7 linked regions of the Canis lupus familiaris genome follow. The protein of the gene in region 7 purifies or fractionates together with the protein of the main gene of each other region. This does not show direct contact. Links are inferred from orthologs where the notes say so. Each region holds a gene or a part of one and is shown on either strand. Other genes may lie near its edges. The genes, in order: EIF3A, MKNK1, EIF4B, EIF3B, NCBP1, EIF3I and EIF4G1.

Region 1 (2,924 bases), on a different chromosome or scaffold from region 7:
TTGTTTGAAATACTAGATATTAAGAAAATTAAATGTTGAAAAAAGTGGTTTCCATCACTGTTAACATCAAACAGAAAAGGCTGCATCTGATTATTTTTAAAAAAAGCTTCAGTACTCCCTCTTCTGGCCTTATTAAATAGCTGTGCCAACAGGAGTTCTCACCTCCGCTCAATCTTGGAAGTAATTCACATGTCTGTAGCCACTATCAATTTGCTACTAATATTCTCTAATTTCAGAGGAATACTGAAAGAGTAAACCACCCACCCACCCACATATACAAGCTCACAGAGAGGACAGCGTTACAAGGAAACTAAGGGGTTCCTCAATTAAGGAAGGAAACATCCTAGCCACATTTGTTTTCTACTTGAGTTATTTTTTGCTCCTAAATACGGAGACATTTAATGTCAACCAAAAAAACTCAAATTCAACACAATATACAAAAACTCATCATTAGTAAGTAATAAAAACACTTTGGCTGTAACTACAAATCAACACCAAAACAAATTCTGTAAGTATTTTATTTATCACTGAAGAAAAAACACAGCAGCAAGTTCTGTGTTGGCTTCAATAAGACCAAATTAGTTAATCTCTGACATAGCTACGACATTCCAAAATTGAAGTCAACACAGTCATTACTACAAATTACTTGTTGAAAGAATCTATCCTGAAGAGAAAGGAAATTAGGAAAAAGAATTTAAACAATTCCTCCAAACCACACATTTATAAATATTGTCATATTTAAAATGCTTGAAAGGCATGAATTCTCCATTAATGGAAAAGCAGTTTGCTATTGGCAACAGAAAAGACTCAGCAACAGTTTTACCAAATGCTTTAAAATTTAAAAGCTTTAATTGTTTTGGATTCACACTTGAGCAGTATTCTTGTCATTTCAGTGACTGCAAATTGCTTTATACTCACCTCTCAAGTAAAATCTACAGAAAATCCCACTGTATCCAATGTCTGTAATGTTTACTGCACTTATAGCGAACCTAAAAACTTTCTAAATGTAGTTAATATAGTAAATACCTCAAAATATCTAGAGGTATGTCTCAACCGCTAATGGTGTGGAAGTCGTTTCAGCCCCTGCTTTGAAGAGTCTTCAAATACATTTTCTTTAACAGAATCATACCTCATTCCAAATTAATATAGTATTTCAAAAACAAAAGAAAAAGATCAGTTCTATACCAAGATACAGGTGTTACTCCATACCTGACGGGTTCACATTTTAAATTTATTTTTTAGTTTTTCTTTTTTGTAAACAAATGATTGATGAAATAATGCAACACCTTAAATTCCAGAAAATGGCCTGGCAGTCCAACCTCCTGTGGACACGGTGCACGATCAATCTATTATAGAGGATTAATACAAGTTCATGCTTTTTGTGTTATGGTGAGACAACATTAAAGAATCCAATTTAGACTGGTTGAAGCACAAGTATAATAATCCTTGAATGTGATCAAACATATGAGACATAAGTCTGAATCCATTATCTTGAGATTTAACGTCGTACCGTGGTCCATCCATCTTCATCAGTCTCATTTTTAGTACGACGAAGAGATTCCCTATCTTTCTCAGCTCTCCATGAGGTTTTCTCTTTTTCACCTTCTCTTTCCCTGTCTCGGTCTCTTTCTCGGTCTCTTGAAAGAGCAGGGGGAGGAACACGACGAGGGGCTTCCCGCTCTTCGGCCCGCTCATCTTTCCTGTCATCAGCACGTCTCCAAGAACTTACTAAAAATTTTAATTAAAAGAAAAAGAAAGTAAATTTATACTGTATTGTACTGGTTCAGACTAAACAGAACTTCAACAAAAGGAATGCTTCCAATTACTCAGAAATCCTATATATAAAGGTAACCACAGAGAATCCCCATTTAAAAAAACAATCTAAATATATTTTAATCATTTTGATACAATTTTTGGCAAATTCTTCATAGCAATACACTTGAGAACTCAAATTTGAAACCATTGGCCTGGGAAGTATCCTAATGGTTAAAATAATTTAAGACAAAGTGACAAAAATCTGAATGAAAAATTTTAAAGGGACACCTGGGTAGCTCAGCAGTTGAGCATCTGCCTTTAGTTCAGGTTGTGATCCCGGGGTTCTGGGATAAAGTCCCACATCGGGCTCCCAGCATGGAGCCTGCTTCTCCATCTGCCTAAGTCTCTGTCACTCTCTCTCTCTGTGTCTCTCATGAATACATAAAATGTCAAAAAAAAATTTTTTAATTAAAAAATTTGCTTTTGTTGAGTAAATCATAAAAGCAAAAATGGCCATAAGGACTGCATTATACCTTTACTTTACAGGTATCATATATGAAAAACCCTTATAATCCCATTGTACAAATGAAACATTTAAAGTTTGAGATAAAAAAAAGTTCGAGATAAGTACTTAGTTAAGTGCATTGGCCATTTTCAACATTAAAAAAATTTTTTTTTACTAAAGTTTCAACTGTCACAATTTCAGAGAAAGAATGCTTTACACTGTGCTTACCTACCAAGACTTTACTTTTAAACACCGACAAATTATTTCCTAATTACACAGACTTTTTTTTTTTTTTAATTTTTATTTATGATAGTCACAGAGAGAGAGAGAGAGGCGCAGAGACACAGGCAGAGGGAGAAGCAGGCTCCATGCACCGGGAGCCCGATGTGGGATTCGATCCCAGGTCTCCAGGATCGTGCCCTGGGCCAAAGGCAGGCGCCAAACCGCTGCGCCACCCAGGGATCCTCTACACAGACTTTTAAAGCAATATATGTTTACCATCCAATTAGCCTACTACTATACTGTGAATTTAAATAAAAACTTCACATAGTGACTACTAAGTTTATAAAAACTGATTTTTTTTTAAATTTATTATTTTACAGAGAGGGAGGGAGAGAGAAAGTGAGCTGGGGGAGGGGGCAGAGGGAGAATCTCTTTTTTTAAA
Region 2 (3,500 bases), on a different chromosome or scaffold from region 7:
ACAGAGAAGGAAACTGAAGGATAGAAGTGTTAAGTAATGGGGAGCCTGGGTGGGTGGCTCAGTCGCTTGAACTTTTGCCTTCGGCTCAGGTCATGATCCCAGGATGGAGCTCTGAGTCAGGGCTCCCTGCTCAGCAGGGGAGCCTGCTTCTCCCTCACCCCCTCCTTCCCTCTCTGCTTGTGCTCTCTCTCTTTCTCTCTCTCAAAAATAAATAAAAATCTTAAAAAAAAAAAAGTGTTAATTAACACAGCAAGTAAGTACAGAAACCAAGAGTTGAATCCAGTGAGAACATCTTTGGAGTCCCCATTATTACTGAGCTGCCATACTGCAGAATATAAAATTTATCTGGCTTCGGACCAGCTAAAGTCTGGCACCCAGATGAGACACTCACTTTGACAGCATACTCTTTGCCATTCTGTAGGCTCACAGCACCTTGAACTTTGGCATAGGCTCCCTCTCCAAGCAGTTCAGAGGTCAGCTTGTACGTGTCTAGAGGTGAAATGGGTGAGAGGAAAAACAAGATAAGTCATGCCTTTGCAAGCTCAGATGGACAGAAGAGCTGCTGTCACTCAGCTTCCCTGGTGTGATAGCACGGGCACACAATGACAAGGAAGACCATCAACTCTTCCAGTCATCACAGGACTCAGTTTCTCAACAGCTAGACCACATTGAAAGCATCCTGTTCCTCATTTTAGAGATGAGGTCAGTGAATTTCAGTTCTGCCCAAGCTTCCTGAGCACCTGTTATGTACCAAACAATGTATTAAATTTATTAATAGGGACAGAGTGAGGAATAAAATATAGTCCCTGCCTTTTGAGGGTCACAGTCCAGTGGGGAAGACAGACATGTAGACAAGTGACCCCAGAATAAACCGGGCAGTAGTGAGCACTACCATAAAAGGACAAGACACAGGAAAAAAAATAGGGGGAAGGAAAGGTTAGATCTGTGTAGGGAAACCATGGGATCCTCACAGAAGGAGTATGATTTCAATGGACATCATTCATTCCTTTACTCATTTGTTAAGCACCTGCTCTATGCTCTAGTTCTGTGCTAGACCCTGGTGATACAAAGGGAAATAAAGCACTATTTTATTTTATTTAATAGAAGTCACTGGAGGTTTCTGAGAAGTTTCTGAAGTCACCCACAGGAAACAGGAGACAGAAGGAGGATGCAAACGGATGCTTCGAGGTTTTTAGGGTGCTGATTCAGAGCAGTTCTAACAGAGTATTAGGCCTGGGGTAAAAGAACATTTAGGTGACCTGCCCAAGCTCACAAATAGCGCAGACTCTTTGATTCCCTTCCAAAGGAAACCACAGCTCCATCATGGCCTTTGCCAAGCTGACCTCCTTCTCCCCTAAATTCCATTCTTCACCTTTTTTCCTCTTGAGGCAGCCCAGCATTTAAACCCACAGGGTGTGCAGAATACTTTCAAACCATGAAATTAGATTTTATCACTCTTAGCATGAGAGGCTTATAATTGTACAAGTCATCCTCGAATAACAGGATATAGTCTCATGTTCACTGTAAGAGCAAGACCTGTTGATCTGGAAACTATTCTAAAAACCTTGAGACTTTTGTCCATCCCTCCCTACACCCCTATACATATATATCTACTGTTTAAGTTAAAGACAAACAGACAAACCCTACACTTAGTACCATCCTGGATCCATCATGGTATGGTCTTGCAGCTATTTATAAGCATGCACACTGTTGTTTTTAAGTATTTTAAATGACATGCTTCACTCACAATGGATACTTTGGATTAGCCTTTCATGCATGTCAGGATAGCCTGGTGGGTGGAAGTCCAATATTCATGATTCATAAAGGGCTTGTTATTGGAACCGCTCTACAAAACAATCAATTCACTAGTGTACCTACAACACTGGAAAGAGGGACCATGAGGGGAAGGTATTTCAGGTCTCACAGTGAAAGAAACACAATGGATGAGGGGGGCATATCATTCCTGGAGGAGCTACTGATCCTTTTAGGCCCTTGCAGAAGTGTTCGATGATTCACTTCATCATCACATACTCAGTGATGACAGGACCAGCACTGAGCCTGTGCCTCACACAGTGTTCAGAATCTTTGACGATCCAACATCATGTCCCCTGAACACAGCATGAACTCTTAAAATCGACTCAAACTCATACAGCACAAGTAGCTGTGATGTCTAGGAGTCAAATCCTCTGTTTATAGAAGATTTAACTTTCATTTGGAGTTGTGGCCCTTGGTGTTCTCTCATCCTCTTACATGGCTGTTCTACCTCTCAGCAGTGACTCCAGGAATGGCGGGGGAAAAGATTGCATCAGAAAAGGGCTAAAATGCACCAACCAATCTCTCTCCATACACAAGTCTGACAGATTGGTCTTTCTATCCTACAGTGAACGCTGAAACTATTCAGAGCGCACCATCCAAGAGCTCTCTCATCCCATCATTCATCCCTGTCACACAGATAAGGACGAGCTGACTCTCAGATGACGCATGCTCTGATCTAGACCTATGGGCTACCAAGATGCTCCTCTCATGCCCGGGGAGCTACAGGCCCAGATCTGAGAAGTCGTGTGACCAACCTTCAAACTTCCCTGGTAAGGAGTCAGTGGCCCGGGCCTTCCGCTTCTTCTTTTTCCTCTTGTCACCCTCTGCAATGGGAAGGGGTTCACTGCTCCCCATCTCTGGGGGAAAAGAGATGTAAGGGAAATATCACTATACTGATCAAGCCATAAGTTCACCCAGAAGGGAAAAAAAGGGGAGGGGAGGGGGGACCCAGGAGCTTTACACTGATGGTTTTTAAATATCTATGAGGACTATTGATTTGTTTGACCCAGGAGGCAAAACTAAAGGCAAAGCCATTATTGGAGATCATTAACTGTGGAAAGGAACTCAGATAGACAGGCTAGATTAAAAGAGGATAGCAGAGCCTGCTCTAACCAAGCTCATTAGCACATGGATTCAGATCTGCCACTAGTCAAACTGCAGTTTGCAATAAAAACAATGAATCCATAAGCAGCATCCCACTTGTGACGTCCTCCTGCCCCAGCACCAGAAAGGCAGGATCCAGGGAGCTACAAGGGTGTGGCTTGGGAGGGGCCCATGCAAATGAAATCATAGGCTCAGTGACACCGAGTGGATGTGCACAGGGATCCATAGGCCTCAGTGGAGTTGCCCCTGGAGGTACAATAGGACAGAGAGCGGCTCTGAGGATTGCCTAAATTACTTTATGTTTAGGAGCACAGACCGGAGTACCTGTGGGACCCCAAGGATACTCTCCCCTACTCCTCAGCTCCTAATTTGAGAGGATGTGGTCAGGTCTGTTTAGAAGTCTGAAAAGTCTGCAGTTGATGAGTCTACACCAGGCTGCTGGGTGAGGTCATTCATTGCAAAAATATTATTATCTCTCACTGGCCAGCAGGTTAAAGGGAGGCTCCCCATGTTAAAGGGAGCATTTGTGAGGCAGACATTTCAACACTGGCCACACCAGGCAGGAAAGGGTAGGGATGGAA
Region 3 (3,500 bases), on a different chromosome or scaffold from region 7:
CGGGCTCCCGGTGCATGGAGCCTGCTTCTCCCTCTGCCTATGTCTCTGCCTCTCTCTCTCTATCTCTCTCTCTCTCTGTGTGTGACTATCATAAATAAATAAAAATTAAAAAAAAAAAATGTCTACACCAGAGAATATGTATATGTGTGTGAAGAGGACCTCTGATAAATCTCAAACCCCAGGATCCACTGAGTTAACTCCAAGTTGGAGGCTCAACACACACACACACACACACACACACACACACACACACACACACACACAATATGATATATAGGAAAAACAGGCCATCTTTTTTTTTTTTTAAAGGGCAGTAAATGTCTTCTCAAAACTAGAAGTTTTGGGATGCCTGGGTGGCTCAGTGGTTGAGCGTTTGCCTCTGGCTCAGGGTGTGATCCTGGAGTCCCGGGATCGAGTCCCACATCGGGATCCCTGCATGGAGCCTGCTTCTCCCTCTGCCTGTCTCTGCCTTTGTCTCATGAATAAATAAAATCTTAAAAAAGCAAAAAAACAAAACAAAACCAGAAAACCAACTAAATGTTTATTTTGTCAGATTCTTTCTACGTTTTAAGTGCAGCCTCCTCAGGAGGTATCAATCCAACCATCACACTTCCACCTAGTCACAAACAGACATTACCTTCCTGTTACTAAAAGGGTAGCTACTCCAGTATGAATAATTTCCAGAAAACTTCTACAACACTTGGATGAACTTCCAAATCATCTCAGTCTGGAGCCACGCTTTGAAATGCTCAAGTACAAATCAACTTAGAGGTGGGAGGAAGAAACTTAAAAAACAAAACACTGGTTCGCAATAAGGGAAGAGAGATGTTATGATTTAATAGTTCAGTTTCCAAAACACTAAAGATGTTTGTGACCAATCGATAAATTCAAGGAAGGAAGGAAGGAAAGAAAGATCAAGAGTAGAAGATCATCGCTCCAGACATTGCTCTGGTCGTACAGGACATCCAAAAAGGCTGGCAAGAGAGCTGTAGGACTGTGACTGCTCTAAATAAAGGAAAATTCTGGAATGTCAAAACAAAAAGAAGGGACAAATCTAACAGTCAAGTATACTCTTTAGTAGAAGATCATTAAACAGGTCGCCCAAGTCTCTTCTGATGCCATTTTCTTAGATTTTTCAGACTAGATGTAATATTCTGCTCAACCTATGCTAACCGAAATAAAGCCCCCATGACTGAGTTTAATACCCCACAGTGACTGCATAATTTGGTTATGGCTCATTTATGGAAAGAGGCAATAACACGTGATACCCACCCTGGTCTGACTTACTTCTGCCAGTTGTGGCCGAGGTCCCAGTCTGTGATGACTCACTTCCTGTCCTGGACCGTTCCCGTTCCTGAGTCTCTTCACTTCGCCAGCTTGGGTGTCTGTACAAAGAGATTAAAAAAAAGAAAACAACTTATGTCCAGCTCACTGAAGGCCACTTTGGACCCATGCTGACCCCTCAAGAACCATCACTTCATACTCATCAGGCTTGCTGTATTTGTGGGTGGGTGTGCACATCTTGTTTCTCTCAAACCATTTGAAAGCTACAAAGATAAATACACTTTGGCTCTAAACACTTGAAGCTTCAACTAGAATGAAGAATATTCTCCTACCTAACCTACAGCCCTCCCTTACTGGTAACACAACTCTAAAAGCCATTTAAAACTAGGCCATTTTACAGGTTTCTACCCCATTAGATCCAATGCCACTTTTTAATAACAAACACTTCACTACCGACTCCTTTACCATCCTGAAATATCCTTAAATAATATACCTGACATAACACACGAGTAAAAATAAATGTAAAATAATTTATATATAGTTTATGTTTTATAGAAGTAAAAACATTTTCTCTTTATTCCAGCAACTCGAATAGAGGCACTTCCACTCATCTCATAATGGTGGCTTTACCCCATATACTAAAGCAAGATTTGGTCAATTTTTTAATGGGTCAGATAAATTTTATTTACAAAATATGGAACAGCACTGGGGCACCTGGGTGGCTCAGTTGGTTAAATGTCTGTCTTCGGCTCAGGTCGTGATCCCAGGGTCCTGGGATGGAGCCCCGCATCGGGCTCCCCGCTCAGCAGTCCGCTTCTCTCTGTGCTCTTTCTCAAATAAATGGATTTGGGGCGGGGGGAGGAATAGGCCGTAATTTGCCTACTCCTCTATTAATCGATCATCAATTTATAGTTGTCAGAAGTTAAGCCCAGTTAAGCCCCTTTAAAAGCCACGAGGGCCGGCAGGCAACTAACTCTTCATAGGGTTCAACTGTCCCATATACTGCAGCGCACCTACTGGCCCCAGCCTGTGTACACTAGATGCTATTAAGTGACAACTAATAACGCCTGCATGAATTTCCCAGATGTGCCCTGGGATGTGTACCACACCCGTCCTTCAGGAAGCAATTCGTTCCCAGATCAGAGATCCGTAACTGAAGAGAGCCTCACCTCTCTCGAGGCCGTCGCTCTAGTTTTGGCTCATCCAGCTGGCGCTGCAGCTTCTCCTGCTCCTTCTGCAGCCGCTCTTCTACTTCTCGCTCTCTAGCAGCTGTGTCAACAGGCTTTGCCCCTCCAAAGATAGAGGCCGCTCGACTGGACTGGGAGGTGCTAGCGGAGGAATCATCTTCCTTAGGAGTACTCCGAGGCTTTAGATTCAGTTTGGGTCTTTGGGGGGGACCTAAGTTAAATAAAACTCTAAGTAACAGTTTTTCAAAATCCTCAGAAGCTGATGGCCAAAAGTCAGATGCCCAGACACAGCTCTTAGAAAATGCCACATGGGGGGACATGTGGTTGAGCATCTATCTTTGGCACAGGTTGTGATCCCATGGTCCTGGGGTCAAGTCCTACATCAGGATGCCCGCGAGGAGTCTGCTTCTCTCTACCTATGTCTCTCCCCCTCTCCCTGTGTCTCTCACGAATAAGCAAGTAAATAAAAATCTTAAAAGAAAAGAAAATGCCACACGGGAGAGTAGCAGCCTAGCCAATCCAGTAGAGAAGGGAGAGCATTAGAAAATAAATGGGTGGTTTAAACAACCAAGGACAATCAATCTTCCCACTACGCCACCCATGAGGCTGTGCTACACACTGAGGACTTACATGGTGAGTCATCACAGCTACTATTACTAGGAAGAAATGGTCAACTATGATAAACTACTGGATGCAAGTATCTTGGTAAAAAACGTGGTCTGGAAGATGAACTACTTCAGGAGGCTGAGAAGAGCTTGTGACAATACAACGGGAAAGACTCTACTTCCTATACTCTTGGCTCTGTGTGGAATCTAAATCTCATAATGATTCATGGAGCAAAGCATACAGTACCAAATGGCTAAATATAAACTCTAAAGGAATTTGATTTCTCCTTGGATCCAAACTGTCAGAATATTTTAAGACAAACCTTAGTGTTTCAAGGGAATTGTATTTCTCAAAATTAGTGTTTATCCTAAATAATTTCAAACATACAAAAGATAAAGCTTACGTATACCAACCACTGGCTTA
Region 4 (3,034 bases), on a different chromosome or scaffold from region 7:
TAAGCAGATGGCTATGAGCCAGTCTCTGTGCAGTGTGACCATGAGTTGTGGCAGTGCTAACCCTCCTGTGCTCCTTGCTCTCCTGCCATCTCAGCAGCGTGTGGGGTATGAAGATCCTGTGTCTGCCTGTGTGTTAACAGAACACGCAATGGTTCGCTTTCCTGACTTTATGGGTGATGCTTACTGTGTTTTAGAGGTTTGGCCTCAGGTAATTGCAATGAAAACTACTCCACACACTCATGGTTCTACCACGTATCCTTTCCACGTCTCCATTCCCAACAATCTTAGGAGAGAGAGGGGTCCTGGATCACTTCCTCCTTAATGATGAGTTAGCAGGCAAGGAATGCCCGAGGCTCCCAAGCCCACCCTAGAGCCTTGAAGTAGCAGGATACCATGATGGTGTATGCATAGATGGGGTTCTTTGTGCATGCTGACCATGCTCTGTCTCCCCAGTATGAATGGTGCCTTGGCTTTTGTTGACACCTCGGACTGTACAGTCATGAACATTGCAGAGCACTACATGGCCTCTGACGTGGAGTGGGACCCTACTGGACGCTACGTTGTCACCTCTGTGTCCTGGTGGAGCCATAAGGTATGGGGTCCTGTGTAGCCTGGGTGCAGTGTGAGACTTGGCTGTGATAGGCCTGGTGTCACCCCTTCTCCTGGGTCTCCTTGGGGTGGGCACTGCTGGTGATCTGTTAGTTGTTCTTTGCTGCCCTGCCCAGCTGCTTCAAAAAGCCCTTGAGGGGATTCCTTGGGTGGCACAGCGGTTTAGCACCACCTTCAGCCCAGGGGTGAAGTGATCCTGATCCTGATCCTGGATCCTGGAGTCCTGGGATCGACTCCCACGTCAGGCTCCCCACATGGAGCCTGCTTCTCCCTCTGCCTGTGTCTCTGCCTCTCTCTCTCTCTCTCTGTCTTTCTCATAAATAAAATATTAGAAAGCCCTTCAGCAGCGCACGTGAGGCAGCCAGTTCTTCATGACTTGGTTGGCATTACTTGGTATCTCTTTACTAAGTCGGAGCATGTCTTAGGCCAACGGCAGCCTGTGCCCAGGCCCCTTTCCTCTGTGCCGGGGCCTGGGACCTCTTCATGGTATAGTTTCTCCCCCACCCACCATTGAGCACTCACTCCCTCACTGGCCTCTCTGGCTTGGATGGAGGCAGAAGGAGGATGTGCTTTGCCATCCACACTCTTTATTTCATCCTCATGAAGGTTGCGATTTGGACCCCCTTTATCAGGTGCCCGGCTCAGTAGACTCTCTGTGGCTCCCTCCGCTTGTGTGGCCTGACCATACATGGCCTCTGTATATCTCTTCTGCTTGGAATGTAGTTCCTGTGCGCATGGTGCTTCTGCCACGGGACGCCACTCAGCCTGCCCACTCTGGATTTTCCCAGTACTTATTACCCCTTCCTTTCTTGTTTTTGCTGCCAGGGCACAGCATTGTGTGGCCAGGGGCCTTTTCTGTGGCTCTGCCTGGCATGTGGTCCTTGTTAGTTGGCTTTGCTGGGTGACTGAGCAGCACATAGCCACCAGAGGAGGGCCACTACCTTCAGGGCTCCTGAAAGGCTGTGAACACCTGTGTGTATATGTTTCTTTAATCTCAAATGTCCGTATCTGAAAAACTTAAGAATTGCCATGTTCTATAAGCGCGAGAGCGTGTGTACAAAGCCCGTTCTGTGTGTGCATGTGCTGGTGTGTCTGCAGCGGTGCTCCCTCGCCCACTGCTCTGCCAGTCCTCTTTTACGTTTAGTGACTGTTTCTCGCTGATCAAGATCCTGAGCTGATCCTGAACCAGCTTGTGCACCCGAGAGCTCAAGCTTGGGCAGTTCTGTGTAAGGACGTAGGAATGTAGAGCAGCTCAGGCTCAGCAAACCCCACTGAACACAGCATCTTGAATGATCTGTATGTTGGCAATAGCACACTGATTGTTCCTGAGCATGTCTGCACGTGTTTGGGTGCTGCCTGTTGCTGAAATCTCTTAGAATGTTGAGCTCTTGTCAGATGCCACACACTCCTAAAGTGCTGGTCTGCAACAGGATCACACCAGCATGTAAATTCAGATCCTGCTTCTTTGGGAAAGTGTCACCATGGAAAAGATGCCAGTTGAGCTAAACGGTGTGTTACGTGGCATGGTTAGTGTATATTCTGGCTTGAGCTCCCGGTTGCAGGCCAGTAAAGAGCCCGTGCTATGGGAGCCCGTCCTTGCTGCTATTTGCACGGTGCACGGTGTCTTCCTGTTGGGTTTAAGGACTACATTCCCCCTGCTGCATGCAGGCTTGGGAAGCAGAGATTTGTGTTTAGGTCTCTTCCAGATACCTACAGCACTGTCAGGTGTTGGCCCTCAGACTACCGGGAGGAGATGCTTGTTTTGGTTGGTGCTGTGAGGGTACAGGTGCCTGGAGCCTTGCATCTTGCCATGACTCAGGGCACTGAGCAGTGCTTGCGCCTCTGCCCTCTTGCAGGTGGACAACGCTTACTGGCTGTGGACTTTCCAAGGACGCCTCCTGCAGAAGAACAACAAGGACCGCTTTTGCCAGCTCCTGTGGAGACCTCGGCCCCCCACGCTCCTGAGCCAGGATCAGATAAAGGTCTAGGGTCCCTTGGGGTCAAGGGAATGTGGAACTTCTCATTTGTGGTTCTTGCTTTGAATGTTTAAATTCTGGGTGGCTCATCTTTGTTTTTGTTTCAGCAAATTAAAAAGGATCTGAAGAAATACTCCAAGATCTTTGAACAGAAGGATCGTCTGAGCCAATCCAAAGCCTCAAAGGTTAGCCTCCTCCCACGACTGAGGGAAGGGCCAGCACCAGGCCTGAGGGGATGGCAGTGTCTGCGTGGGGGTTGCTCATCTGCTGCAGGTGCTTGCTGTGTTGCTGCCGTGCACACAGACTAGTGGGACCCTACTGCACCTCTGGGTGGCTGGCCATCCAGATGCGGGAGGGATTGGTCCTGAGTTGAGGGGATGGAAGAGAGCACGTCCTTCCAGTCCTGACCTGAAAGCCTCTGTGAATAGAGGGGTCCTCACGGCAGCCAT
Region 5 (3,500 bases), on a different chromosome or scaffold from region 7:
TGGACAATAAAACAGGCAAAAAAAAAAAAAAAAGATTAAAGGAACTGCAGATAATTGTATAAATGGCAGAGGCAAAGTGTAGTGTCTCATCACCACACTATGCCCTTTTCACCACAAAATATACATCTTTTCCCCTAAAAATACATCTGATCTAACTAGATAGAAATCACCTGAGCATACTGTGTAATGTTGTAAAATCTGCGAGAGCCCAATATATATTTGCTGAATTTCAATAACATAATTGGGTTGTGCAACTCCTAGTTTTATGAGATTGGGAGAAAAATCAGAAGATGCTATCTTAGAGCATGTCCCTCATAGATCTATAATTTCAATCACTGACTCAGGTCTGATACAGTGCTTAATGATAATTTTCAGATATGCAATCTGAACAATGGACACGAAAGATCATGGAAACTGGAGAAGTGTTCAGTACCTGGGTCGATCTGACTGTGGACACTAACAGAGGTAAGAAAGATACCAGCTGATAAAAGTGGTAGACGGGTCTCCGTCAAAAGACAGTGGACATGCAATTACCACACCTCTAAAAATCCAAAATGGTCTTTTGTATAAACTGAGTCTTCAAGCTGTAGTTATGTAGAAGCTAATTATTTAAGAAAAAGATACTATCTATAAACAAACAAAAATACATATATATTTATACATAATAAATACACAATATTAGGTTCTGCTTGTGCACAGGGGTGAGTACAAAGTTTATTTTAAAATCTTACATACCGAATTACAAAGGAAAAAGTATAATTATACCAAAGCACAAAAAAAAAAAATTTAATAATGAATGAAATTAAAGAAAACCTCAGTATGGCCATCATTTCCTATTGGAAGTTAGTAGAAAGCATGATGTTACATTATAAATTTTATTATTATACAAAGGGTTATTTTGGGGAGACAAGAAAGAAAAATCAACTTAGAAATTCTCTAAAAAGGCAAATATTTTGCTGATTAAATTCTTTTATACAGTACAGGGAATAGATGCTTCTTGCAATCAGTATAGAAATAAGACAATTACTATACCTGTCTACACATGTAGTGTTCATCGTGTCCAAACGCATATATAACATTTCAGTTGCCTGTGCAAGCTGTGAATTTGAGGATAAGGAAAACTACTCTGAATCCTCCCTCAAAATAAGTTGTGACAGAACATAACATTTCTTAGAAGTCATGATGACTAACAATGCTGAGCATCTTTTCATGTAATTGATTTTTTTAAAAACAGCTGCAGTTATCAGTCATATACAATAAATCTGACTTGTATACAACCCTGAACTAAACAGTGAATATTTATATCGCCTCCAAACTTTCCCCATGCTCTTCTGTAATCCTCTTTCCTCCTCCCCCAACAAGCAAATATTGGTCTGGTGTCACTGGATTACTTTGCATTTTCTATAATTTTGTGTAAATGGAATCATGTAGTATAAATTCTTGTTTGACAACTTTTATTCATCCTACTTAATTTGCAATTCATTCAAGTTGTTGCCTGCACCAAAAATTTGTTCCTTTTTATTGCTGAGTAGTTTTCCATTGTATAGATATGGCAAATTTGTATATTCATTCATGTACTGATGGATATTTGGATTGCCTCATTCTGGGGTATTACAAATAAAGTTTTTTCTTTTTTAAAAGATCTTGAGAGAGAGTGAGAGAGAGACAGAGAGTAGGAACAGGGGGGAGTGGAAGAGGGAGAGAGAGAAGCAGAGCAGGGAGCCTTACGGGGGGCTTGATCGCTGGACTCCGGGATCATGACCTGAGCCAAAGGCAGACGCTTAACTGACTGAGCCACCCAGGTGTCCCACAAATAAAGATTCTATGAACTTAATGTCCAAGTCTTTGTAGGGATATGTGTTTTCATTTCTGTTAGGTAAATACCTAGGAGTGGAGTGGCTGGACTGTGTGGTATACTTATGTTTAACTTTTGAAGAAATGGCCCCCACAGTAAGAAACATTTAATAATCTTTTAAAGCCAGGTCAAAGAGAGTAAGTTTAAAAACAAAGGAAAGGATACAACTTGGGGTAGAGAGCCAGGCTGGAGTTTGCACAGCTCGATAAGCAGTGTTGTGTACATCACATCAATGTGCGGGGGTGCTGGAAGCTGAAACAGCTCTGCAAAAATCACCTATAAAAGAACCATGAGTCAGAATGCTGTTCAACAAGTATCTTTGTACTTCCATCAGAAAGATCAACATTTTAAACGTAAACTCTTTAACTCCATGGCATTCATAATGAAAAAATAATTACTTTATAATCTTTAGAAACTATACTCTTTAAGACATGGAGATTTGCAATTGAATACTGTAATGAAAATTTCATCGTTCTATAACTCAATCAAATAAGAATATGCAGAAATTAATGCTTATTTGATACTCCCAGAGAATAGTGCAATTAAATTCCTACTCTGGAAGTATCAGAGTTGATTCAGGCAGGTACTCACTGATCCATCAGTTTCACTCCTAGAAGCAGTAAAAACCCTCATTAGATTCTGAAGACAGGAACAGAAGATAGTCAAGTCATTCCAGGCTGCTACTTAAAAACCAGTGCCTGGCAATCTCTTTGGTAGAAAAAGATTACTTTGCCACCGCTGTTGTTCAGAAACTTGTTTCTGCCCTCCCTATATAATTCATGAACCACCTACCTAGAATTCTAAAACCTGGTCTGCATTCTTTCTTCTCATTCCCATCTCCCATCCCTCTGTATTCCCTTCTGATAAAATTTTACACTTTCCAGATTCGAAATTATGACCTATATTTTGCATTTCAACTGACGTGTCAATGAGTCAAGTTCATAGCCTAAATACACTCTTAAAGTTTTATAAGATAGGACAAATGCAGTACTTTTGGGGAAGCACACAAATACATGTATGAACAGTAAGTGAATCTGTAATAATAAGTGAATGCTATTTTGAGACTTAAACCTCTACAAGGTGTTCACCCCTCCGCATGACTTGATATGGGGTCGAAAGTATTATTGATTCTTCCTACTTTCAAAAACAATGGGCTCTTCTAATTTCTAGGAATAAATAAAGACTCCTATCTCTCCCTACCGTGTGATACAGGGAATAATAATATACTAGTCAGGGGTATGCTGGTAATAAGAGGCCAGATAAACACAGTTATCTGCCTATGTAATATGGTATTTTAAAGTATTCAAGCCAATTATCTATCTGATAAGTGGACAGTGTACTCACAAGACTGGAGGTAACTTATACTATCCATGAATGAAGACATGCTATATAAATAATTTAGAGGCACTGCAAAATTCCATTTGGCTACTGGCCTCAACCTCCACTTTTGTTTTTACTAACATGGCTAAGAGAGCACAAAATTGACAGCAATTTTCTTGCTCCTGTGTTAATTTTCAGTACCTGACAAGTTGCAAGGGGAAAAAAAAAAGCCAAGAGTTATTAACTTTCAAATCCATAGAAAGATTCTGAAACTTAGAAACATGCTCCATGTGGAACACATACCTCAACTATGTGGTAGTTCAAG
Region 6 (3,158 bases), on a different chromosome or scaffold from region 7:
GCTGCATGTCTAGCTTTTTTTTAGATCTTTCAAAGGGTCATTTCATCTCCTTACTTCCCTTCCCATTCAGCAACCTGCTAGCCTGTAGAGTACAAAGGGCAGAGCTTTAGAGTCTGCCCTCAGAAGCACCTCTCTCTGCCTCAATTTCTCTATCTAGAAAACAAGATTACTAAAAGTACACCACCCAGGTCACCAGAGGGATACTGAGACTGTCTTATTTGACTTTGTTGTGACAGGAACCTGGCCTATGTTCTGCAGACATTGGTCAGATGATTTAAAGGCCTTGTGAGCACTGTGCCTCATACAGAGTGGGCCCTCAGAGAACTTTCCTTTCCTGAATTACTTTTATTGTTGTTTTTAAGTAAGCTCTCTGCCCATTGTGGGGCTTGAACTTACAACCCCTGAAATCAAGAGTCGCATGCTCTATTGAATAAGCCAGCCAAGTGTCCCTTTCCTGAAAAAAAAATTTTTTTTTAAAAAGATTTTATTTATTCAGGAGACACACAGAGAGAGGCAGAGAGAGAGGTAGTGACAGGAGAAGCAGGCTCCATGCAAGGAACCTGATGTGGGACTCGGTCCTGGGACTCTGGGATCACGCCCCGAGCCAAAAGCAGACGCTCAACCACTGAGCCACCCAGGAGTCCCCCCTGAATTATTTTTATCTATTTTGTGAGAAGGATGTATTTTTGCTTTCCTCCATCAGTGAGGACACATGGTAGAGTCAGATCCAGCTCCTGTATTTTGGGGAACAAGCAGGAGTCTTGCAGTCAGGCCTATCTAACAACACAGAACAGCTTCACTATTTGCTGGCAACAAGCTTTATGTATGCCTTTGACCTTGGTTTCCATTACCTGCCTGTGGGTAGGTCTGGGGTCTGGTGGACTATAGTCAGCGTTTGCTGAACGACTAAACTTTATCATAGTACATGCCAGCATTGTCCAGGAACCCAGGTACCCAAGAGAAATCCAGGGCAGCCCAGGCTTACTCTCCATCTCATCAAGTCACTCCTAAATATCTCTTGACTCTGTCAGGTGCTCCACATCCCGAGAGCTATGGCCTCATTCAGGTCCATTCTCTGAACTGAGCCTGCAAAAGCCTTATAAAGAGAAAATCTGATCACCAATAACCATTTAAAGATTCCCCACTGGGACACCTGGATGGCTCAGGCAGTTAAGCATCTGCCTTTGGCTCAGATCATGATTTCAGGGTCCTGGGTTCAAGCCCCATGTTGGGCTCCCTGTTCAGTGGGGAGTCTGCTTCCCCCTCCCTCTGCTCCTCCCCACCCTGCTTGTATTCTCTGCCTCTCAAATAGACAAACAAATAAATAATAACCTTAAAAAAAAGAGAGAGAGAGATTCCCTACTGCATACAGAAAAATCAGTTCCTTACCTCCTGACACTCAAAAAAAAAAAAAAAAAAAAATCTAGTTGCTATCCACTTTCTCCAATGCCATGTCCCAAAAACCCCAGACCCTTCCCTGAACAATCCCCCTATTCCCTTAATTCTGCTTTTGTGTGTACTGTTTTTCCCATCTGTGGAATGGCCTTCCCTTCTTGCTTAAAGCTCCATTTATTCTTCACGGGTTAACGTATGTGCCACTTTCTCTATGACAGAGGGCACTTAATGTAATTGGCTGAGACCTCTATGTTGGCACAACTTCCAACCTGACTCATGCTAGCTGTTTGCCAGTCTGTCTCCCTGGGGGCAGGGCCCATGTCTGATTCAGGTCTTTTTCTTTAGAGCCCAACACAAGGCCTGGCACTCAGTGGTGGCAGGAAAATGCTTATTTATGATCACTATTAACATATCCAGAGTAGGGGCACCTAGGTGGCCCAGTGTCTGAGCCTCTGCTTTTGCCTCAGGTTGTGATCCCAGGGCCCTGGGTTCAAGTCCCACACTGGGCTCCCTGCAGGCAGCCTGTTTCTCCCTCTGCTTATATCTCTGCTGATCTGTGTCTTTCATGAATAAATAAATAAAATCTTAAAACAAAAAACAACCCATATATCCAGAGTATCCTGTGACAAGTTTTTAAAATGCCTTATGTCATTTGATCCTCGGAACATTTTGCATATATAAACAGGCTCAGTGAAGTAATTTGGCCAAGTTCACATAACCAAAAAGTGGTAAAATCTGTATTTGAACCCAATCTTTGCTCTTCACTACTGTGCTATCCTGACTCTTGAAGGGAATCATTCTGGTGGGCTTGGGGCTCCACCCACCTCCTCACCTTGGCGCTATACTGGTTGAGCTCCCCGCCTTCATGACCCGCGATGATGCACTCCCCCAGGGGTCCCCAAACAGCACTAGTGATCTTGGAGTCGTTGCAAGGGATCTTCATGTAGGGCTCATTGTTGTCTGTGTGGGGTAGAAGATGTCAGGCCTTGGGCTCTGGAGCCACACCCTTCACCCCAGTCCTAATGCCCTAGTGCTGGCTCACCGATTTGGCTTGGATCCCGCAGGTCAAAGAAGCTCACAAAGCACTGGTAGCCCATCTGTTTGTCCGTGGAGAACATGATGATGTTGCCCCCAAAATCAAAGCCACACGTCCGGACAGCTGAATTGGTCTTGAGTAGGGCCAGCTGCTTCCCTGGAGACAAGCAGAGTTTGGGCTACCCCTTGCCTAATGCCATCAAGGGGAGGACACTCTCCATACGCCTATCCTCCTGTCTACTATTTCTCCTGCTCTAGTGACCAAAACCCACCCCTACTTCCTCCTCACTGCTAGGCTTTGGCTCAAGATTTTTAACTTGCTCCCCACCATCTCTCCCCAGACATCCTGTTCCTATGGCACTGCTCATAGTGAATTGCAATACATATGTCTTCTCAGAATGCATTCCTCTAGAACAAGGATCTGCTCTAATTTCTCTGCATGTCCCCAGAACCCAGCAGAGAGGGAACCCTGTCGGGACCCCTCTCACTTCTGAGAGCTTCCTCTGTATCTCCGTATCTCTGCTTAATAAACTTCTATCACTTTGCTAAAAAAAAAAAAAAAAAAAAAAAAAAAAAAAAAAGGAACCCAGCAGAGACCTGGCATAGAATTGGGTGCCCAGTAAATATTTACTAAACGGAGCAGCTTAATAGGCTCCCATGTATTTGGTCTGTTCTTCCAATACTCCCCACTGCTACCTGAGTTTGCTAAAATGAAACATACTCTCCGC
Region 7 (3,938 bases):
AAGGGAGGAAGTGGACATCCAAAATGGCCACTCCGCCATGTCTCTAGTCTGGAGAAAAATACTGGGGGCTTTGGAGCACGGGGGCCAATCCTCACCCACTTAACCAAACTGATGGTTAGGTGGCCTCTTGTACTCACACATACCCTCCACACTGAGGTATGCGCTTTGCACTCCACGAATATTTACTCCCTCACTACCGTGAATACTCATGTCACCTCTACCAGGCTACCCCTCTGCAAAGGCTTCCTAACACCCAGATGCATCATGCCCAAGTAAAGCCCTTTTGAGCAACATACTCCCCAGCATGCATTGCTCCACCCTAAGGTACAGAGGAGCTAACCACTAACATGCAACAGTCTCCCAGTTCCCAGATTTGCAATCTGCAAGATCTAGCCTCTAGCATGCATCAGTCAGTGTCAGACTGAGAACCTTAACAGCAAACATGTCCCCACCCTGAAGACCCCCCAGTCCCTGTGTCTAGCCCTTGACTAGGGTAGAGGTGAAGGGTGAGACCGTGAGAGGGTCCAGAATTAGCAAAGGGGTATTACCTGCAGAGACCTGAATCCTCCCTGAGAGCACATGGGGACAGGAGAGAAGAGAATTATCCCCAAGGTGATGAGAGAGAAAACAATGAAGGAAGTAGGACAAGAATGTCCCCACTTAGTGAGGAAGAATTTAGGGAACAGAGAAAGGCAAGAACCAGATGGAGTGTTTATCTCGCCACAGTCCAAAGAGAAAGAAGGGAAGGGGAGCGGAGCGGAGCAATCACAACCTCCCAGGAAAAGGAGGAAATAGGAACAGGAGTTGGCAGCAGGGCCCGAAGCGCTGCTCCCAATTCTCAAGGCACCAGGACCCCTAGTAATGCCACCCCCACCGACTACATACTCCCCAAGGGGCCAGCCACCGTAAGTAATCAACAGCACAAAGTGCAGAGCCGCATGAAAGAACACAGAGCAACTGTCAGGAAATTGGGGCAGGTACAGGGCCTCCACAGTTTCCATCCTCGGCCCGAACTGGCCTAACCTTTCCATGGCTCCCACCCAGGCCCCCTACTCCCCTCCCCAGAGCCCCTCACCTGGCGGGGCTGAGAAGGCGTGTTCATTTGTGTCGCTTGTGGCGTACTGAACACCACCGGTGCTGTCTGCCCCGGGGGAAACGCAGGCTGAAGGGGGGAGACCAGAGTTCAGCAAGAGGGGAAACCCGGGTGGGGCAGAAACCTAAGCTGGTAAAGTAAGGGGAGCAGACCTGTGGCAAGAGCTTCAGCAGTCCACATGCCCCCTCTTCCCCATGACAGCCCCTGGGAACAGCCCAGGGGCCCTGTCTCAATTTGGCAGCAGGAAGCTGCACTTTGCCCTGACACAGATGGGGGTGGGAAAATCCAGAGGTTGGAACCTGTTCCTGACCAGCTGCCTGATCTCCCCCACCCCCACCCCAGTCTCTGCTAATTCCTCCCTAATTACCTGTGGGAGTCCAGGGGATGGGGCAGGTGGGGGGCCTGTGGGCTGTGGAGCTTTGTTCATTTCATTTGGTGCCACATCAGGGTCCCCCCAGCACCTGTTGGGAAAGAGTGGAGCTCGGAAAGGGGAAGGGACCCAAGCTGAAGGCAAGCGGAGTGGGGGAAGGGTTGAACCAAGGGCTGGGTCCCACACCGAGTCTCGGAGGTGCGACCGGGGTGAAGGAGCAGAAAAGATCCAGCTTACGTCCCCACCAACACGTTGTCAAACCCGCATCACCTCCAACCACCCCCCTGGTCTGCTCAAACAGCCCCCTCACTCACCCCCTCGGTTAAGAATAAGTCCACGGTGCGGCCTACAGGTTCTGGGCATCCGAGGGCCTGGGGTTGGGAGGTGAGGGGTATCAACCTGGCTCCGCGGGGCCCAAGACCAACCAGACCGGAAATTCCAGGTCTCGCTGGCACCAGGCTCCCGGATCACAAACGGAGCTAGCAGCTTCGGCCGTGGTGTCCCCACCCCCCACCTGGGGACACCGGGTTCGGGGCCAGGCCCGGGGGCACACAAGGCACGCCTGCTGCGGGTGGCCGCGGGGGCGCCCGCACGGGGCCGGTCGCGAGGCCTGCCGCCGCCCAGGACTGGAGGCCAGGAAGGGCGGGAGTCGGGCCCTAAAAGGCCAGGCGGGCGGCGGCCGAAGAGAAGCCGGTTCCTAGCAAGCGAGGGTCGGCCCGGAGGGCGGGCGGGGCCGGGGGCTCCTCCCTGCCCGCCGCTGCCGCCTCCCTCCCCTGCGCCCTCCCTGCGCAGCGCCGGCCAGTGCCAAAGAACAACGTGTCACTTCCCGGCGGCCGGGCCGCAAAGGGGGGAGGGGGCGGTGGGCCGGGAGCCGCGGTGCCTGCGCCCGCGGGGCCCCCTCGGGTCAGGCCGGGGTGGCACCTCGCGGCCGGCGAACCCGGCGCCCCAGCAGCCCGCGGGGACCGCACATTCCGGCCCCGCGCTCCCCCACCCCCACCCAGCAGCCAGGCCGGGCCAGGCCGGGCACACGTGGGCCAGGGATCGGGCCCTGGCGGGCCGGGGCCCGGGCTTGGGCCGCGGGGCCAGGGCGCCGGGGCGGCGGCGCAGGGTGGCCGGTCCCGGCCCGGATGGCGGCGGATGCGGGGGGAGGGGGTGGGGGGGCCGGGTCGGGCCCGGACATGGCGGCTTTACCTTCAGTCTCCTTCAGTCCGCGCGGCCGAGCCCCACGCAGCCGCACAGACGTAGTCCACAACCATTTCCGGCTCCCCGCACAGATCCCGCTCGGCGGCCACCGCTTCTCCGCAGGCGCAGCCGGCGCCCCCACGTGACCGGCGCAGGGGGCGGAGCCGCGCCCGGCGCCGCGGAGTACGGCCCGCTCGCCCAGCCCCGTCACGTGACAGCCGCTGCCCGCCCCCTTGTCCCCTCCCGAACTTTGGAACTTCCAGACCGACCCCCCTCTGCGTCTCTATTCCGCGGTTCTTTTAGTTCATTCATTCTTTGAACGGGCATTTATTGAGTGCATGCTAAGTACCAGGCGAGGTGCTGGCGGGGGAGGGAGGGCGTGCTGAGAATGCCGAGATTTGTTACTCGGTCCTGCCTAAATAAGTCACGATACAAATGCGCAAAGAAGTACACACTGGGCAGCCTTTGAAAATAAAGCGATTGAAATACTTACTAAGTTGAATGCGAGGCTAAAAAGGATTGAAACATTTTAAGGAACTAGTTAAGAGTCGATCTTTTGCTTTACAGAGATCAGCCACTCCCAGGGAGGGACAGAAGTCAGTCACGGAAAATTCAGAATAACGAAGGAAGAAGTAATCCCAAAATTCCTGCCCTGCAGCCAAAAGACTTTTGGCACCCGGAGGAATCGCCCTAGAGCCAAATCCAGGTACTCAGATATCCGAGGTTTTAATCCAAACCCTACTTCCTGGCCAGGTCACTTACTACCTACTATTACCTATTCTTGTAAAATGGGAAGGCTGGAAACCAGGCAGTCTGGCTCAAGTCCGAGCTTTTAACCGCGGTGCTTTCTCTCACAATAACATCCACACTATTGGATTGTGAAGATTAGAGTTAATTTATGTGAAAAGGGCTCGAAACGGTGCCTATGTGCTTACATACGTGGCAAAGACACTCTTGTGCACGATCTGTGGGTGTGCATGTGTGTATGTGCACACATACAATCTCAGAAGAAAACATTTTCTCTGTACCAATGATAATGTGGTCAATTAATATATATGACCTATGTGATCTCAATCTTCACAATTTTCTATAAAAACAGATTGCATTGGAGCACCTGAGTGGCTCAGTGGTTGAGTGTCTGCCTTTGGCTCAGGCGGTGATCCTCCTGTCCTGGGATCGAATCCCACATCGGGTTCCTTGCAGGGAGCCTGCTTCTCCCTCTGCCTGTGTCTCTGCCTCTTATTTATTCACAAGAGACAGAGAGAGAGAGAGAGGCATGAGTGAATTATTCAC

What was found.
Region 1: the proteins of EIF4G1 (region 7) and EIF3A purify together in Homo sapiens (affinity purification with western blotting; 4 studies listed by BioGRID, with this or other methods). This does not show direct contact. The link is inferred for Canis lupus familiaris from reciprocal best matches to the Homo sapiens genes EIF4G1 and EIF3A.
Region 2: the proteins of EIF4G1 (region 7) and MKNK1 purify together in Homo sapiens (affinity purification with western blotting; 3 studies listed by BioGRID and IntAct, with this or other methods). This does not show direct contact. The link is inferred for Canis lupus familiaris from reciprocal best matches to the Homo sapiens genes EIF4G1 and MKNK1.
Region 3: the proteins of EIF4G1 (region 7) and EIF4B fractionate together in Homo sapiens (co-fractionation; 4 studies listed by BioGRID, with this or other methods). This does not show direct contact. The link is inferred for Canis lupus familiaris from reciprocal best matches to the Homo sapiens genes EIF4G1 and EIF4B.
Region 4: the proteins of EIF4G1 (region 7) and EIF3B purify together in Homo sapiens (affinity purification with western blotting; 7 studies listed by BioGRID and IntAct, with this or other methods). This does not show direct contact. The link is inferred for Canis lupus familiaris from reciprocal best matches to the Homo sapiens genes EIF4G1 and EIF3B.
Region 5: the proteins of EIF4G1 (region 7) and NCBP1 purify together in Homo sapiens (affinity purification with western blotting; 3 studies listed by BioGRID and IntAct, with this or other methods). This does not show direct contact. The link is inferred for Canis lupus familiaris from reciprocal best matches to the Homo sapiens genes EIF4G1 and NCBP1.
Region 6: the proteins of EIF4G1 (region 7) and EIF3I purify together in Homo sapiens (affinity purification with mass spectrometry; 5 studies listed by BioGRID and IntAct, counting the BioPlex papers as one, with this or other methods). This does not show direct contact. The link is inferred for Canis lupus familiaris from reciprocal best matches to the Homo sapiens genes EIF4G1 and EIF3I.

What each region holds. Positions count from the first base shown.
Region 1 is NC_049249.1:29,589,181-29,592,104, forward strand, and holds the end of EIF3A (eukaryotic translation initiation factor 3 subunit A), read right to left. Parts: intron 1,729-2,924; coding exon 1,499-1,728; 3' UTR 501-1,498; downstream 1-500. UniProt on the Homo sapiens protein: RNA-binding component of the eukaryotic translation initiation factor 3 (eIF-3) complex, which is required for several steps in the initiation of protein synthesis.
Region 2 is NC_049236.1:13,964,345-13,967,844, reverse strand, and holds part of MKNK1 (MAP kinase-interacting serine/threonine-protein kinase 1), read right to left. Parts: intron 2,673-3,500; coding exon 2,571-2,672; intron 490-2,570; coding exon 392-489; intron 1-391. UniProt on the Homo sapiens protein: May play a role in the response to environmental stress and cytokines. Appears to regulate translation by phosphorylating EIF4E, thus increasing the affinity of this protein for the 7-methylguanosine-containing mRNA cap.
Region 3 is NC_049248.1:44,524,659-44,528,158, reverse strand, and holds part of EIF4B (eukaryotic translation initiation factor 4B), read right to left. Parts: intron 2,683-3,500; coding exon 2,454-2,682; intron 1,386-2,453; coding exon 1,273-1,385; intron 1-1,272. UniProt on the Homo sapiens protein: Required for the binding of mRNA to ribosomes. Functions in close association with EIF4-F and EIF4-A. Binds near the 5'-terminal cap of mRNA in presence of EIF-4F and ATP.
Region 4 is NC_049227.1:14,926,890-14,929,923, reverse strand, and holds part of EIF3B (eukaryotic translation initiation factor 3 subunit B), read left to right. Parts: intron 1-453; coding exon 454-592; intron 593-2,465; coding exon 2,466-2,591; intron 2,592-2,692; coding exon 2,693-2,770; intron 2,771-3,034.
Region 5 is NC_049232.1:55,290,732-55,294,231, reverse strand, and holds part of NCBP1 (nuclear cap-binding protein subunit 1), read right to left. Parts: coding exon 3,479-3,500; intron 2,132-3,478; coding exon 2,021-2,131; intron 1,098-2,020; coding exon 1,033-1,097; intron 1-1,032. UniProt on the Homo sapiens protein: Component of the cap-binding complex (CBC), which binds cotranscriptionally to the 5'-cap of pre-mRNAs and is involved in various processes such as pre-mRNA splicing, translation regulation, nonsense-mediated mRNA decay, RNA-mediated gene silencing (RNAi) by microRNAs (miRNAs) and mRNA export.
Region 6 is NC_049223.1:68,378,405-68,381,562, forward strand, and holds part of EIF3I (eukaryotic translation initiation factor 3 subunit I), read right to left. Parts: intron 2,588-3,158; coding exon 2,438-2,587; intron 2,356-2,437; coding exon 2,228-2,355; intron 1-2,227. UniProt on the Homo sapiens protein: Component of the eukaryotic translation initiation factor 3 (eIF-3) complex, which is required for several steps in the initiation of protein synthesis.
Region 7 is NC_049255.1:17,363,489-17,367,426, reverse strand, and holds the start of EIF4G1 (eukaryotic translation initiation factor 4 gamma 1), read right to left. Parts: upstream 2,801-3,938; 5' UTR 2,655-2,800; intron 1,835-2,654; 5' UTR 1,778-1,834; intron 1,555-1,777; 5' UTR 1,521-1,554; coding exon 1,461-1,520; intron 1,223-1,460; exon of another isoform or gene 1,163-1,222; coding exon 1,076-1,162; intron 570-1,075; coding exon 549-569; intron 1-548.